2 linked regions of the Lytechinus pictus genome follow. The protein of the gene in region 2 interacts with the protein of the main gene of each other region in a pairwise test. Links are inferred from orthologs where the notes say so. Each region holds a gene or a part of one and is shown on either strand. Other genes may lie near its edges.

Evidence for each region. The genes of interacting proteins can lie anywhere in the genome.
Region 1: the proteins of syntaxin-16-like (region 2) and proteasome subunit alpha type-6-like interact in a two-hybrid assay, tested with the Caenorhabditis elegans proteins (3 studies listed by BioGRID). The link is inferred for Lytechinus pictus from reciprocal best matches to the Caenorhabditis elegans genes syx-16 and pas-1.

Annotation. Positions count from the first base shown.
Region 1 is NC_087251.1:30,306,843-30,314,634, reverse strand, and holds the start of proteasome subunit alpha type-6-like, read right to left. Parts: upstream 3,013-7,792; 5' UTR 2,635-3,012; coding exon 2,559-2,634; intron 1-2,558. Other genes in the region: uncharacterized protein LOC129264587, read left to right, coding at 6,936-6,981, 7,542-7,701. UniProt on the Caenorhabditis elegans protein: The proteasome is a multicatalytic proteinase complex which is characterized by its ability to cleave peptides with Arg, Phe, Tyr, Leu, and Glu adjacent to the leaving group at neutral or slightly basic pH.
Region 2 is NC_087246.1:49,417,865-49,424,700, reverse strand, and holds the start of syntaxin-16-like, read right to left. Parts: upstream 3,009-6,836; 5' UTR 2,880-3,008; coding exon 2,799-2,879; intron 1-2,798.

The DNA.
Region 1 (7,792 bases), on a different chromosome or scaffold from region 2:
ATTTTAACGGCTTTAGAATATATTCCTCTGCAAATCTAGAGAATATGATGAAGATGACATGGATTTTGAGTGTTTGGGAGCAGAACTAAGGAATCTTTTGTATTTTAGACATTTCGGACGGTATAGCCTTTTGCATGTTTTCGGCGCATTTTGGGCTGTTTCAAGCAAACACGCAACTCTTTAGACACTGATAGTTTAAAAACGGGTACATGGACCCTATATTTTTAACATTTTAACGGCTTTAGAATATATTCCTCTACAAATTTAGAGATTATGATGAAAATGACATGGATTTTGAATGTTTGGGAGCGAAATACGGGAACTATTCGCATTATAAACGGTATAATTATTATAGACTTTTGCCCGTTTTCGGCGCATAGGCGATTATCAAGCCAACTCGCAACATTTTGGACACTGATAACTAAAAAAACGAGCACATGGACCCTATATTTTTAACATTTTAACGGCTTCAGAATATATTCCTCTACAAATTTAGAGATTATGATGAAAATGACATGGATTTTGAATGTTTGGGAGCAAAATACGGGAACTATTCGCATTATAAACGGTAGTATATACTTTTGCACGTTTTCGTCGCATAGGCGATTTTCAAGCCAACTCGCAACATTTTGGACACTGATAACTAAAGAACGAGCACATGGATCCTATATTTTTAACATTTGAACGGCTTCAGAATATATTCTTCTACAAATTTAGAGATTATGATGAAAATGACATGGATTTTGAATGTTTGGGATCGAAATACGGGAACCATTCGCATTATAGACGGTATTATTAGACTTTGCACGTTTTCGGCGCATTTTAGGCGATTTTCAAGCCAACTCGCAACACTTTGGACACTCATAGTTAAAAAACGAGCACATGGACCCTATATTTTTAACTTCCCTACATCTTTCATATACATTCCTCTACAGTTTAGCCATATTTGATGAAAGTGACATGGATTTTTAATAAAGTGCAGCTTAAACTATACTTTTTTAATTTTTTAGTAGATTCACGTCTTTGAAGATTTGTTTTTTCCGAGTTTTTGCACCATTCCTGCCAAATGAGGGCGCTGCTGAATCCAAATAGATATAGTTTTACCAATTAAAAGACTTTCTCCTACTTTGGTATCTACTAAGTTACACATCCTGAAAGTTTGATGTGATATCGAGAGAGTAAAGATGATTTAAACTCATTTGGCAAGGCTCCACATTAACTTTTTTTGGTGGTGGCCCGTTCGGGCCACCAAAACCTTCAAATAATTTTTTTTGGTGGCCCGATATTAAAGTTTGGTGGCCCAAAAAATATAAAGAAAAACATTAAAAATGAATAAATGGGTATAAATGGTTTAACCACTGTCAAAAAAAATGAAAGAAAATAATAAAACGGCAAAAAAAGGTGTGAGAAAATTCCTTCCCTATATTTGCCAAAATGTTGGAAAAATTAACATTTCATATTAATGAAATGCCTTCCCAAAGTATTTACTTTCTCAAGAGTTGTTTAAGAAGTCATTTTTATTATAAACAAGAAAGAATTAAGTAACTGTCTGTTTAGTTTTGGCTAGAAAAGACCGGAAAAGACACAGCTTCGAAAGAAACCAAGTAACAACATATATACAAATGCACACGTGGGACTGTGATGTTCTCACCTATGTGTTTTTATGTGTATTATTTTCATTTGGAAATCGGTCTTTTTGAGTCAAAAGAGAGGTCATGATTCCTCTTTTTAATGCTTGCAAATAATCAGGATACACCAGATTTTAGCAACAAGGTCTGTAGAAGGGCATTTCATTGGTGTAAAATGTGACTTTGACTTGGATTTTCAGTTCTGTGGAAGATTTCATAGCAGCAACATTTCGTATTGCAGCTCCCCGAGTCTGAATAGGCTGTTAACGCACAGCTGCTTGAAGCATGCAAAGCTCACGCCAGCCGGCGCGGCCGGCTGGATAAAAGCTACTTAATGCTATAGCGGTAGGCCTACTTTGTGTGTGTGTTTGTGTGTAGATCAACAAAAAGGGCGCATGATGAACTGGCTTGCAATTTGAACTGTAGAAAGTTGATAAATGCGTGCAAAATGGGGAGAAAAATTGCGCTATTCTGAAAATTATTGGTTGCCCGATTCGGGCCACCAAAACTTAATATTTTTTCAATAATGGTTGCCCGATGTGAATTTCTGGTGGCCCCGGGCCACCGGGCCACTGCTAATGTCGAGCCTTGCATTTGGTGAATTCGTGAGGTCTAAGAGAGGCATAATTCTCATGATTGCGCAATATTTCATATCATTCAAATACGGCGACTTTGAAGTCCCGTAGAAAAAAAATAAGCACATGAACCTATATTATTTTTTGCATTTTCATAATGCATAGATACCAAAGTAACTCTCTGCAAAATATGGTGAAAATGACATGGACTTCATTTTAACTGTGGAACGTCCTTAAATTGACCTTCTCTTCCTTCCCAATCCCACTTTCCTAACAAAGTAACATAACAATAGGCTACATTATTATAAACATGTTAAAACAATTCCAGCAGTGCCAGTGAGCAGGCTCTACTTACCAACTTGATACAGCCGCCCTTCTGGGGAAAAGACAGTAATGAAATGATCAAACCCAGCACTTGATCCTCGTGACATTATCAAAACTTAGCTTTGGTTTGGGGAGAGCAGATTTTGCTTTTTGGGTGTTGTTTTTTCCCCCTTGGCCTTGGCTTCGTCGAGATCGGATTAACGTTCCGGCGCGGCGGTGGTGGCTGGTGCGATGTATCTTCGGCCAAGACTCTCGAGCTCTCTTCAACTTGGTTCAAGTTTCACCTTCCTGGCAGCTCGGAAAACTACGTAAATAGTTGTTCTTGATCTCTTGATAGAAGATTTGATCTCAAACGACGTAAAATTTCAATTAACAATTGATAATCATCCCCTGAAATATCATTTGCCAGTCGCAGTTGTTCTCAGGGCCAGGGTTGCAAGTCACGCACGTTAACGTTCTGTCAATAATTGAAATAAGCCATTATTATTTGCTTGGTATTTTGTTGCCAATTTAAAGATCGTCATACACTTAAATGATCTGTAAGCAATGTAACAAAACCGCGTTGTGAGGGAGGCAAGTGGGGGCAAGTGCCCATAAACAGCCAAGTTAAGTGGTGAGGGGGAGTCGAATTTCATTTTAAAAATACCCTCTATGAAAATTATAACAACTACATGTATGTAAATCAATCAAATAACCCATAACTCATTCTCGAAAATGCAACTTCAGCATCTAGTGAAAAGTCAATTAAGACATAATTGATTAACTGTTAGTTCGGGGGATTTATTTTCAATTGCTGGCATTTTTTGTGCAACCAACGTAGTTGATCAGCGGAAAACAATACAGCGATACTAAAATAAAAACCCCAATTTGATAGTCCCGGGCCCCACCACTATTTAACCATCCCCCACCTGATGACACCTCACCCCACTTGGAATGAGAAATACTGCAAACAGATGTTATAAATCGATCGCATGCAAGGCTAAGTCTTTAAACCAATCATAATTATTGCAATCATTTGCGACTGATCTTGTTCTTTAATTGGTTCTTTAAACCTCTAAAGTGGTATGTGTAGTTCAAGTATATCACTTGCAAATTGCAACTGAAGTTTGAAATCAATTGCAAATACTGCATGGTCAGTGTCGGACAGCTCTGTTTAACCAAGGGGCGGATCCAAGCTTTTTGGAAAGGGGGGGGGGGGGGGACACATTTTCCTGAGGAAAAATTTGACAAGCAAAAAAAATTTGACAAGCAAAAAAAAATGGTTTTAAACAAAACTTGGGTATTTAGTTAACGAAACAATTTGATAAGCAAAATGATAAAAAAGGTCTTCACTTTCCGGGGGGGGGGGCACACTTCTGTTTTAAAGGTATTTTTACATTACAAACTTTAATTGCGCCTCTCAAAGGGGGGGGGGGGGGGCACGGGCCGGCTGCCCCCCCCCCCCCCTGGATCCACCAGTGATTTAACCGCAGATGATATCAATGCCGTAAAAACACACAAAATGTTCAAAAATATATATATGAACAAACGAAGAGCAAAGGTTATCACAAAGGAATTGCTATTTGATTAACTGTAGCTTTAAAAAAATTGTGAGCATCTCAGCAGAAACATAATTTTTTTTTCTTCAAAATTTCAGGGGAGATCATGAGGGGGGTAATTATACGGCCATATTGGTTTAAAGAAGTTATCGGATTATATAATTCCTGTAAGTTTGCGTTCATTTTACAAATTTGATATTAACTTTGCATGGGCTTTCTGCCTAGGGCGTCCCTAGAAGGGGAGGCGGGCTCCAACTGAAATCTAATTTTGCTCTTCATAAAAATTGAAAAAGTAAAAATAACAACTGTAATGAACAAGAAAATTCTTAATCATTTCTTTTGCATTTTTTCGAATTGTGCAGCCCCATAGCAAGGCCACACTGTTAACGAAAGAAAATTAAACAAAAAAGATAAGTGGAGTGAAATTAGTAGATAAAGTAAATGATCATATTGTATAGAATGGCGATAAACAATAATAATGGTTTTAAAAAGTAACGAGTAGATAATATCAATTAATTGATGATAGATGAAATCAACAGATTCAATTAGCCCACCATAAATTTAATAATTATTGACAGGAACGGGAATGCATGATACATGGACCTATGGGCCATGCATGAATAGATGGATAGATTGGCATGGGCGCATTGACGGGTGGATGGATGGGTGGAGGTAACAAATTTAATCAATGGGGAATATGAAATTGGTAAGAAAATATAGTTTAATAGATCTACGAATTCGTCAAATTATTACACCAACAAAGCATGAAGTTAGCATCAAGAGCTTTTAACGGGTAAATAAAATCGATAGTTAATGTGTGAATAAATAAAAACATCAAAAAATACAAAATAAAAATAATTGAATCAACGAATCAATTAGTTAATCAATCAGTAACAATCAATTATTAGATTGCTGTCATATAACTTTCAAAGTTTATAGATATAGTTCATAAGATATGGATATAGGGGACAAGTCTTAGGTCGCATGATCAAGGCCAAATGTCATTTTTTTGTCAATGAACGTAGCCACTAGCGTACCTACGGGGGGGGGGGCAGGGGGGGCACTCTGCCCCCCCTGACGAGCCACATCCCATACAAAAGTCATATACCTGCCCCCCCTGACGAGCTTGAAGACCTTTATTGCCCCCCTGACGAGCTTGTCAAATTTTTTTTGGGTACAAAATCCTTCAGTTGTGATTGAAGACCTTTTTTTTTTTTTTTTTTTTTTTTTTTTTTTTTTTTTGCTTGTCAAATTTTTTGGCGGACGGTTTTGCCCCCCCCCTGTGAAAAATCCCAGGTACGCCACTGAACGTAGCATTGTATCATTATATGAATGGTGTTTTTTGTGAATAATTATTTTATAGCCTGTAGTTTCAAAGTCAGCACTGTTGCTATATTGAATCGCGCGATGCAGTTGAGACTGCCAGAGGCGCTCCACTTGTTTTTTCTCTTTTTTTTCTAATGATATGATTACTTATTTTTATAGCCTGTAGTTTCAAAGTCAGCACTGTTGCTATATTGAATCGCGCGATGCAGTTGAGACTGCCAGAGGCGCTCCACTTGTTTTTTCTCTTTTTTTTCTAATGATATGGAATAGTTTAATTATGTATGATTTGTTATTTTTGTATATACTTGGTTTGTGTTGACCCAATAAAACATATAAATAAAAAAAATCAATTAGAAAACATTCAAGATAAATTAAGCAATGAAAAGTTAGATAAAGCATTAGATAACTAAAAAAAATAAATAAATAAAAAGGTAGATAGAAATGGATTGATCAGCAAATTGGTATACCGTAACAGATATGGCACCAATCATTTAATAGTCGCTAATTTCTAAAACTATAACAAGTTACATGCTGAAAAACTTGATTTTGGATTCGATTATGAGACTAAAAAAAGACTAAGGGTACGTAATGACTGGATTTCTTTATGATAGATATCATGTAGACATAATAAGGGTAAGAAAAGATTCAGGATAAAAACGTAACAATCACTGAAGCAGCTGTGGTACCTTCCCTGAGCTGTGGCTGTAATTTCTGTGAGTGACTAAACTGCCGGCTGGAGCTGTGTTGCACCCCGGCCACGCCACGTCCACCGGCCGGGCTACGGACCCGTGATCTAAGCGCCATGAGTTCGAGTGCCTAGCCGCTGGCACGGCATATAGGTAGGTATAGTCGCGGGGATTACGTGTGCGCAGCCAGGAGGCTTCTAGAGAAGAGAGTAAAAATCATTTACTAAAGTAACTTATTATGCTTACTCTCTATGAAGCCAGGGATTCCATTGCAATCTACATGTAGCCTACCACCAAAAAACCTCAAACTTTCGCCCCCGAGTCCGAGATATACTTTCCTTCCAAAAGATCTAGCCCTAAAATGGGATACAACTTCATTTCTACGCTATCGATTTCATTTTTAAACGAGAATTCATTAAAAAAATGAGAAAAATATTATGAAAAGACGGGGGAGACTTGCCCGAATGTTTACGCCACCATCTTGTTTCTCATCGTTGATCGTTATACGGCCGCGGCGTGGTTCTTCACTTCTTGCTTTTAAAATTTGAGTCTCGCTTAAAGTTAACGCTCATGTCATAATGTCATGTAGGTGAGGCAAGAGAAATAATTTCTTAGCTGATTTCTGATGCTGTGAATTGAATTTGTGATGTTTTGAGAACTTAATTGATGTTGATCATGATGATGACGTCTTTTTACGAGGACCTGAGTGATGTAATATTTCTTATTAGGCTTAATTGGTCATGATTGTATTTTTATTTTCATTCAAATAATTGTTGATTAGATATGCATGCCTAACTTAACAGGGTTTTCTTTTTTATTTCCTTTCCATCTTCAGTTTTTCATGGAGGATCACTCAAGATGGAACTAAATTCTACAATGCAAGTTCTTATCATTCAAACTGGAGGTAGGTGTTTTGAAGAATGTTGGAATATGCTTTCAATCATCTACATGTATTATTGAACTTCACTTGTCTATATTATAAAATTTATACTTCATTATACTACATGATATCTTAACCAGTTAAAAAACCAACTGAAAATGTACTTGACGAACTCTTAATCAGTTGAAAATAACTTAGTTTGATTTAGGAGCATTTGGAAAACTTCAATTCAAGGCATATTGCCGCTTTGCCAGGCGATTTTTATCTAGGGATGGGATGGGAGGGCAAGGAGAATTTTTTTTTTTTTTTTTTTAATAACAGCTAGGCCTCTAAATCTATAACCCTCTTTTTCTCTTTTATATTTTTTCTATTACTTTTGAAGTCATGAATGTTGGGGCTCTCTGGTTGCAGCACATAAGAGATGCCACTGATCTTGCATATCGTATAGGGTAAAAATTGAATAAGAAATTGTTTTCAATTCTAATTTTTCATTTGGATTTTTAACATTTCCTTCACATAGATTTCTTAGGATTTTCTTTAGTTTTTCTATTTGTTATTCTCTCACTCTCTCTTTTGATCTGCAGGAACGATTGACAAGGCTTATCCAAAGAGGAAAGGTGTTTATGCCTTTGAGATTGGGGAGAGTGCAGCTAGGGGCATCTTAGAACAGCACAAGGTGCCTCTCAGATTTAGATATGAGACTGTGTGTCAGAAAGATAGCCAGGATATCTCTGATGAGGACAGGTAATAAATCAAAGAATTGAATTTTGATTGTGTAACCTGTATCATTTCCTCTTTTTTTTAGGTTCTTAAAGGCCAGTTCCAACAAGTCGAC
Region 2 (6,836 bases):
ACACCAAATTATATGAGCCAAGGTTAAGTTAAACTGAAGTTATCGCGTTGACAAGGAATGCAGAAGGGTAAGATGAAAACATGTCACTGTGACCTTGACTTTTGACCTCGAAATCAATAGGGTTCCTGGGATCCATGCTAGTAGTATACAAACCAATTTATATGAGCCTAGGTTAGGTTAAACTGAAGGTATCACATTTACAAGGACTGCAGAAGGGTAAGATGAAAACAAGTCACTGTGCCCTTGACCTTTTGACCTCGAAATCAATAGGCTTCCTGGGATCTATGCTAGAAATACACACACCAAATTATTTGAGCCTAGGTTAAGTTAAACTGAAGTTATCGCATTTACAAGGACTGCAGAAGGGTAAGATGAAAACATGTCACTGTGACCTTGACCTTTTGACCTCAGACTTCAAAATCAATAGGCTTCCTGGGATCCATGCTAGCATTATACACACCAAATTATATGAGCCTAGATTAAGTTAAAATGAGCCTAGATTAAGTTAAACTGAAGTTATCGCGTTTAAAAGGACTGCAGAAGGGTGCGATGAAAACATGTCACTGTGACCTTGACCTTTGACCTCAAAATCAAAAGGCTTCCTGGGATCCATGCTAGTATCATACACACCAAATTATATGAGCTTAGGTTAAGTTAAACTGAAGTTATCGCGTTTACAAGGAAAAGTTAATGGATGGACGGACAGACGGACGGACACCGAGCATGGTACCATAATACGTCCCGTAAGACGGGCGTACAATAAAAAGGTTTGTGGGCTACATTTTTTTCTCTCTACAAATATAGGGCTTCACAAGTATCTCATATATGTTCAAAACTACAATTTTGGAGCATTATGGTATATTAAAAGTAATCCTGATATGCAAATTAGATCATATATTGGATATGTATAATGTATGACTGTGCAAAAAATATCTAGCATTTATTCAATAGATGGAGAGAAAATGAGAAAAAAAAAATTCCAAACATCTTGATGTTTCGATCTCAGTTGCAGGTGTGCGCTGACTAAATATTTAAGCTAAACCTGGTGAGTCTTTATTTCTTTATATCAATCACATTTTTATATTGGACCAGAATCTCTTCTCCATTTTTCTGTGATTTTCTCCTGCTATAATATGCTGCAAAAGAGAAAACATAATGCATACTCTAGGTTTTAGGATTCAAAGAGGAAGAAAGGAAAAATCATTGTTTTGTATCTGGATTTGTTATGCATAATTTATTTACTTCACCATTATGAGTGCGTGTCTATATGTTGTAGATCAAAGTAAAAAAGTCCACACAATGCAAGAATAATACAATTCATTTATCCTCTTTCAATCATTTCATATTATCAATGATAGAACAATATATATTTTACCACAAATCAATTTGCAAAGTATAATAACAGCAAACAAGGTTTACATACAAGATGTACAAAGTAAAAGTAACTTAGTGGTAGTGGCTGCAGAATTAATATTTCAGAAGTTTGTTTTATTCATTGTTTATTCATTTATTCATTGTTGTAGGGAACAGAAAATCCATGTCGACATGTCGCATAAAAATTAATCCCGACATCGACATTTGGAAAAGGGACCGTAATTTAGGCTCCCTAACAATCATTCGATCATGGCACATAACACTCTCAAATGTAGTCACCTTGACACGAGTGATATCCCCACACTAGATCTAGATCTATACAGGCTCAGTTCAGGAAAACATATTTTGAATAAGCTAGAGTGAATTTACTTCCAAAATCGCCGATTTAATCCACATTTATTCTGGAGAATCAAGTTTTTGTACCACGATCCGGTCTCGAAAGCATTGCGCAATCACACTCGGAGCCAATTTGAGAATCACCAATTGCAACAGTGATAATTGCGTATTAAACGCTGGTACACATGTGCTGCAAACGCAAGCTCCTCAAATTGACAATAAAAATAATAAAAATTGATCGATAATTTCAGTACCACCTCTGCGGCGATCCAAACAAAGGAAGGAAAGTTTTCTGTGACTTCGTGAAATGAAGCGCTCAATTACAGCAGTCACAACTTCGACGAAAACATTTGTTCGCTGCTGCTCACGTCTATGTGAAAAGTAATACATTGAGGAGCAGCGTATTATCAATATCAACGCATCGATAATTGCATGGGTACGGTGAACGTGAATGCTGCTCGCTAGCACGGAGCAGAGATCAGATGATCGTCAGGCTTGGGCCCCGCGCCGCACCGACGTATTTCTGCTGCCGCGCAGCTTGCAGGCATTCTTTATTAATTTGATGCGCTGCTAAAAATTGCGCCAAAAATTAAATTACTGTGGATAAATGTTTCTAACTTTTCAGGTAAACTTTACATTCGTGACTTAGGCTAGACCCCTTTTTATTTCATATTTACATGTCGATGTGGGTGCGTGAATGTCGGAAACATTGAAAATCCTTCGTATGTCGATATGAGGCCATCGACAACACTCAACAGCACTAATTCAATGACATTCACATTGTCATTGATCATGTTGATTGATGTTTTTCTTTATAATTTTTGGGCAACCAAATAATTAATAAGTTAATGTGGATTTAGAGATATGTTTTTTATAGGAGCATGTCGAATCAGGAAGATAACAAAAAAGAAAACAAAGATAAGTCTTAAAGACAAACGCGATTTTCATACCGGCCGTGCAGCTGCCCTTGCCCGGATGGAGAGCCAGCCACCGCACCGGTCACCTTCGCGAATGATCCTACCCCGACAGGCCCGGGCAATATGATTGTGAGCGTTCGGTAAAACATTTGGGTATCTACCGGTACTTACATGGTCCGAATATATGTGTCTGCTCTGCGCTGCATTGTTTCTCATTAGTATGAAAACTTCTGTTAGACTTCTGGAAGCCATTGTGATGTGTTTCCTCTCTCAAAATTTGATCAGACCTGTTCAAAAGAAGAAAAATTTATGGATTTATTGTTGTTCCACGTAAACCATATTGACAGGTTTCATGTAATTGTACTATTCATCAACGTAGAGGGCGGGTGACGTTAAAGTTTACCCTGACAAAAATAGAAGAAAAAAAAATAAGAAGAAATAATAATAAAAAAAAAAGTTTGAGAAAAATCCATCCGTCAAAGAATAAAACAAGTAATTAGAATTTTCATCATTAGATCATATGCGAGCAGCTTTCCTACATATCGTGTGGTAAACAAATTAAAGAAATGTCATTTTCTCAAAATACTGTACCTTTGGTATATATCAATTGTCAAATCATTTCACACCCGGATCCAATAGGGGGCGAGACCCCCCCCCCCCCCTATTGGCGGAGCCAAAAAAAAGACAAAAGATGGAAAGAAAAAAAAAAGAAAAAAGGGGGAAAGAGAGGAGGAAAAAAGAGGGAAAATAAGAAGAGGAAGACGAATTATTTAAAATAAGGTGAAAGGAAGACTTGGAAAATAAAAATTTTCGCGCTCGCATTAATTGTTAAAAATATATTAACCTCTGCATCCTATTCATGACTACAAAAGTGCTTAGAATAACCAGTTTTCAGGCTCTAATATCAATAAATTTCTTGCTCTCATTAGGCTTATTAGATTAATAAATTAGATCATTGAATCCCTATAAATTGTCCCCCTTTTCAGAAAGGAATATGTCGAGTAAGTTTCATCTCCCGCATATTAGGAAGAGGAATAGGAAGATAGCCACCATTTTCATGTGATGACAAAATGTCCTTGAAATGTGTGAATTAGGTAAAGAAAATAATTTTATGCTCAGGTGCTTGCCTCCCCCTCCGTTTTACTAAAAATAAAACATCTGAGGCAGCTTAACTTTTTTTTATTATGTTATGCTTATTATTATGTACCACATTGTGCAACGGAAATCGATAAATGTAATGAAATGATGAAAAAATGTATTCAGAATGCCCAGATTATAGGTTTAGATCTAAAAAAAAACACGCACGCATGTTTAAAGAGATATACGCAGCTTCTTCTTTATTTAAAGGGCTGTTCAAGGCTGAAAATAGTATGATTTGAACAGATAAAGAGAATTAGAGAGTCAAAAGGGGCCTATAAGCTTTCGATCCGAGCAGAATCTTCGTCGGAGGCAAAATGACAAACATATAAAGTGGAACAACCATGTAATATAGACCACAGACAAGCTACAGCAACACTAGAAACAAGGGTACAAAAGGGACATTAGTGTGTAGAGAAGACCAATCAGGTTAGTGAAAGATAAAGAAAAATCAGATATTAACAAAACACTGAAAATTTGATCAAAATTGGACAAAGAATAACGAAGTTATGATATTTTAAAGATTTGCATTATTCCGGTGAAACATTTCTAGGCACGGTCTTCTTGAATTTATCCCCACTTCATCTTTTGTATTTTATTATATAAAAGTAGGTTTATTCAATTTTTTTTTGCCTCCAAACATAAAAAATATCGGATTGACAACTGATTCAGTGCATTAGATATTTATTGCTGCAAACTATATCATAAGAAGGGATACATGAGTGACACCATTTCACACATGTATGAAAAAAATCAAACAATTATGATTTCATGCAATAACATATAAGAAAAAGGGTAAGTGACATCATCAGCCCATAATAAATATTCATGACGATGTGCAGATAACGTTTTTCACACAATGGCCCGAATTCACAAAGGTGGTTTCATTTAAAACCATGGTTTTTGCAGAAACAACCTTTGTGAATTCGGGCCAATATGGATAACCTTTAAAATTCAATAACTTTGCTATTTGTTATCAGCCTTGATGGAAATTTCTGCGTTTTGCTCTCAGTGAATTTTGCTTTATCTATTTACATATAAATACATTGCAGAGTATCCCTTTAAAACGTGCTTAAATTATCCGGTTTCGAATCCGAATATAAACAAATTTCTGCTCGCTTTATCAATGAAGGAAGATACCCAAATTGCCATCCTTTTCATGATTTACAAAACATGAATAGAGTGTTTCATTTTTAGGTCTGAAAACTTATTTTATTTCCGCTCATGCTTCGTCGCGTTGGCATCAATTGTTATATATACTGTTCATGATTACAAAAATTGCTTAGTCCATTTCTTTTTAGGTCGGAATGTCAAAAAATTTTTGCTTGTGCTTTGCGCTCGCATTATATAATTGTTGAAATATTTATTGTCTTTATGGCTAACTACAAAAAGTCCTTTTCGATCAGGCCTGAACGTACATCAAAAAATTCTAGTTACCTAACGTTACGCATCTTGTTCAGGATCACAAACATCTCCCAGAATGTTCAATTTTCAGGACAATAATCGTTCCATTTGTATAGCGCAACTACTATAATTGCATATACTCTACTGCGCTTGATACTTGGTATCATTATAAAATACATGAAATCTAATAAAAAATTAGCTCGCGCTTAATTCGCTCTCGCAATATTTCAACAGGGCTTATGAGATTATTAGATATTTATGTCGTTTTAAAAGAATATAAAGATAAGAAGTGACTGTAAGGACAACCCCTTAAAAAAAAAATCAAAAATCAACTTTGAGCGGCCGATCGGGGATAATATGGGTGAAATATTTTTTGCCCCCCCCCCCCCATCGGCGAAAGCTGGATCCGCCCCTGAAGAGGTTAACATTAATTTTAAATTATTATCGTTTATAGCTATACATCTTGTCCTATCTTGTCCAATGCATCGTTTTCTAGATGCCAGGATTATCTGACTGCACTTAAACTCAAGTTTTCTATAATTCGGGAACTCGGTCCTCTAGTCTATAGGGGGCCGGTGTTGCAAGAAAATTTATTTGCAATCAATTGCAAATATTCTGTTGCAAGCTAACAATTGATAGACCAATTTCAACTGTAGGAAATCCGATTACACTGCTTGTTTCACGAAACAGATAAGAAATCAATTGCAAAGTCACAATTAATTTCACAACTTATGATTCATTTAGAGACCAAAAATATACTTGCAAGTTTCTTGCAACGCCCCATTTAGAGCCCTAAACTAAAAATCATCGCGAACTCATCAGCTCGCGCGCGCGCTCCCATGCATCCTCCAGTCGATAATCTCTTCTTCCCAAATCTTCCACCACAGAGCAAGAAGGAGGCGGGGCCTTTGTTGATCAGCTGTAGTGTTAGAGCGCCGTACTATTTGGCAAAGAAAAGAGGGGAAAAGAGAGCCAGTGCCGACACTGAGTCTTGTCGACTGGCAATAGGTAAGTACATCAATTTACTCCTTATGCATAATTTGAAAACTGATATTTTTGTAAACCAAAACCCTTAATTCAAAAGGGGAGATTTGCCATCATCTGTTGTGTCAGTGATGTTGTCTTCAGTCCCATATGTTTGTAACTGTGAGAGTTGGTTTAACTTTATAATTATACTACTAGCCTGCTGGGGACTAGGGACTGCATTGACACACTGCATTGACACAGAATCTCCGAATTTCACGATGTTAAGTAAAGATAAATTCCAGTTTTGGTAACGATCTCAAAATGACTTTTTACAGAATCTAATATCTTAATGACCACCCAAGTGTCTGTTTGTATGAATAAAAAATATGTGCCAAAGGATTCTGGAAGAAATTGTGTAATTGCTGAGAAATAAGCAAAATAAGCGCGGATTCGGTCACTTCCGTCGGGTCTTTATTCCAGCAATAATAATACACTGTCCCACGTGTGCCTATCTGTGTTTGTGATCTTCAGTGTGAACATTTTTCAGCGTAGATTTCAAGATTTCACAAAGTTCAGTTTATGTAACTGTACCAGATCTAGATCCTCGATGATATACTGACAATTAAACCTGGTTTTACAGACTTTCTCATGAAATCAGTGTTTACTGCAACTACTGGAATTTATCTTTAAGTAAGAATTTAA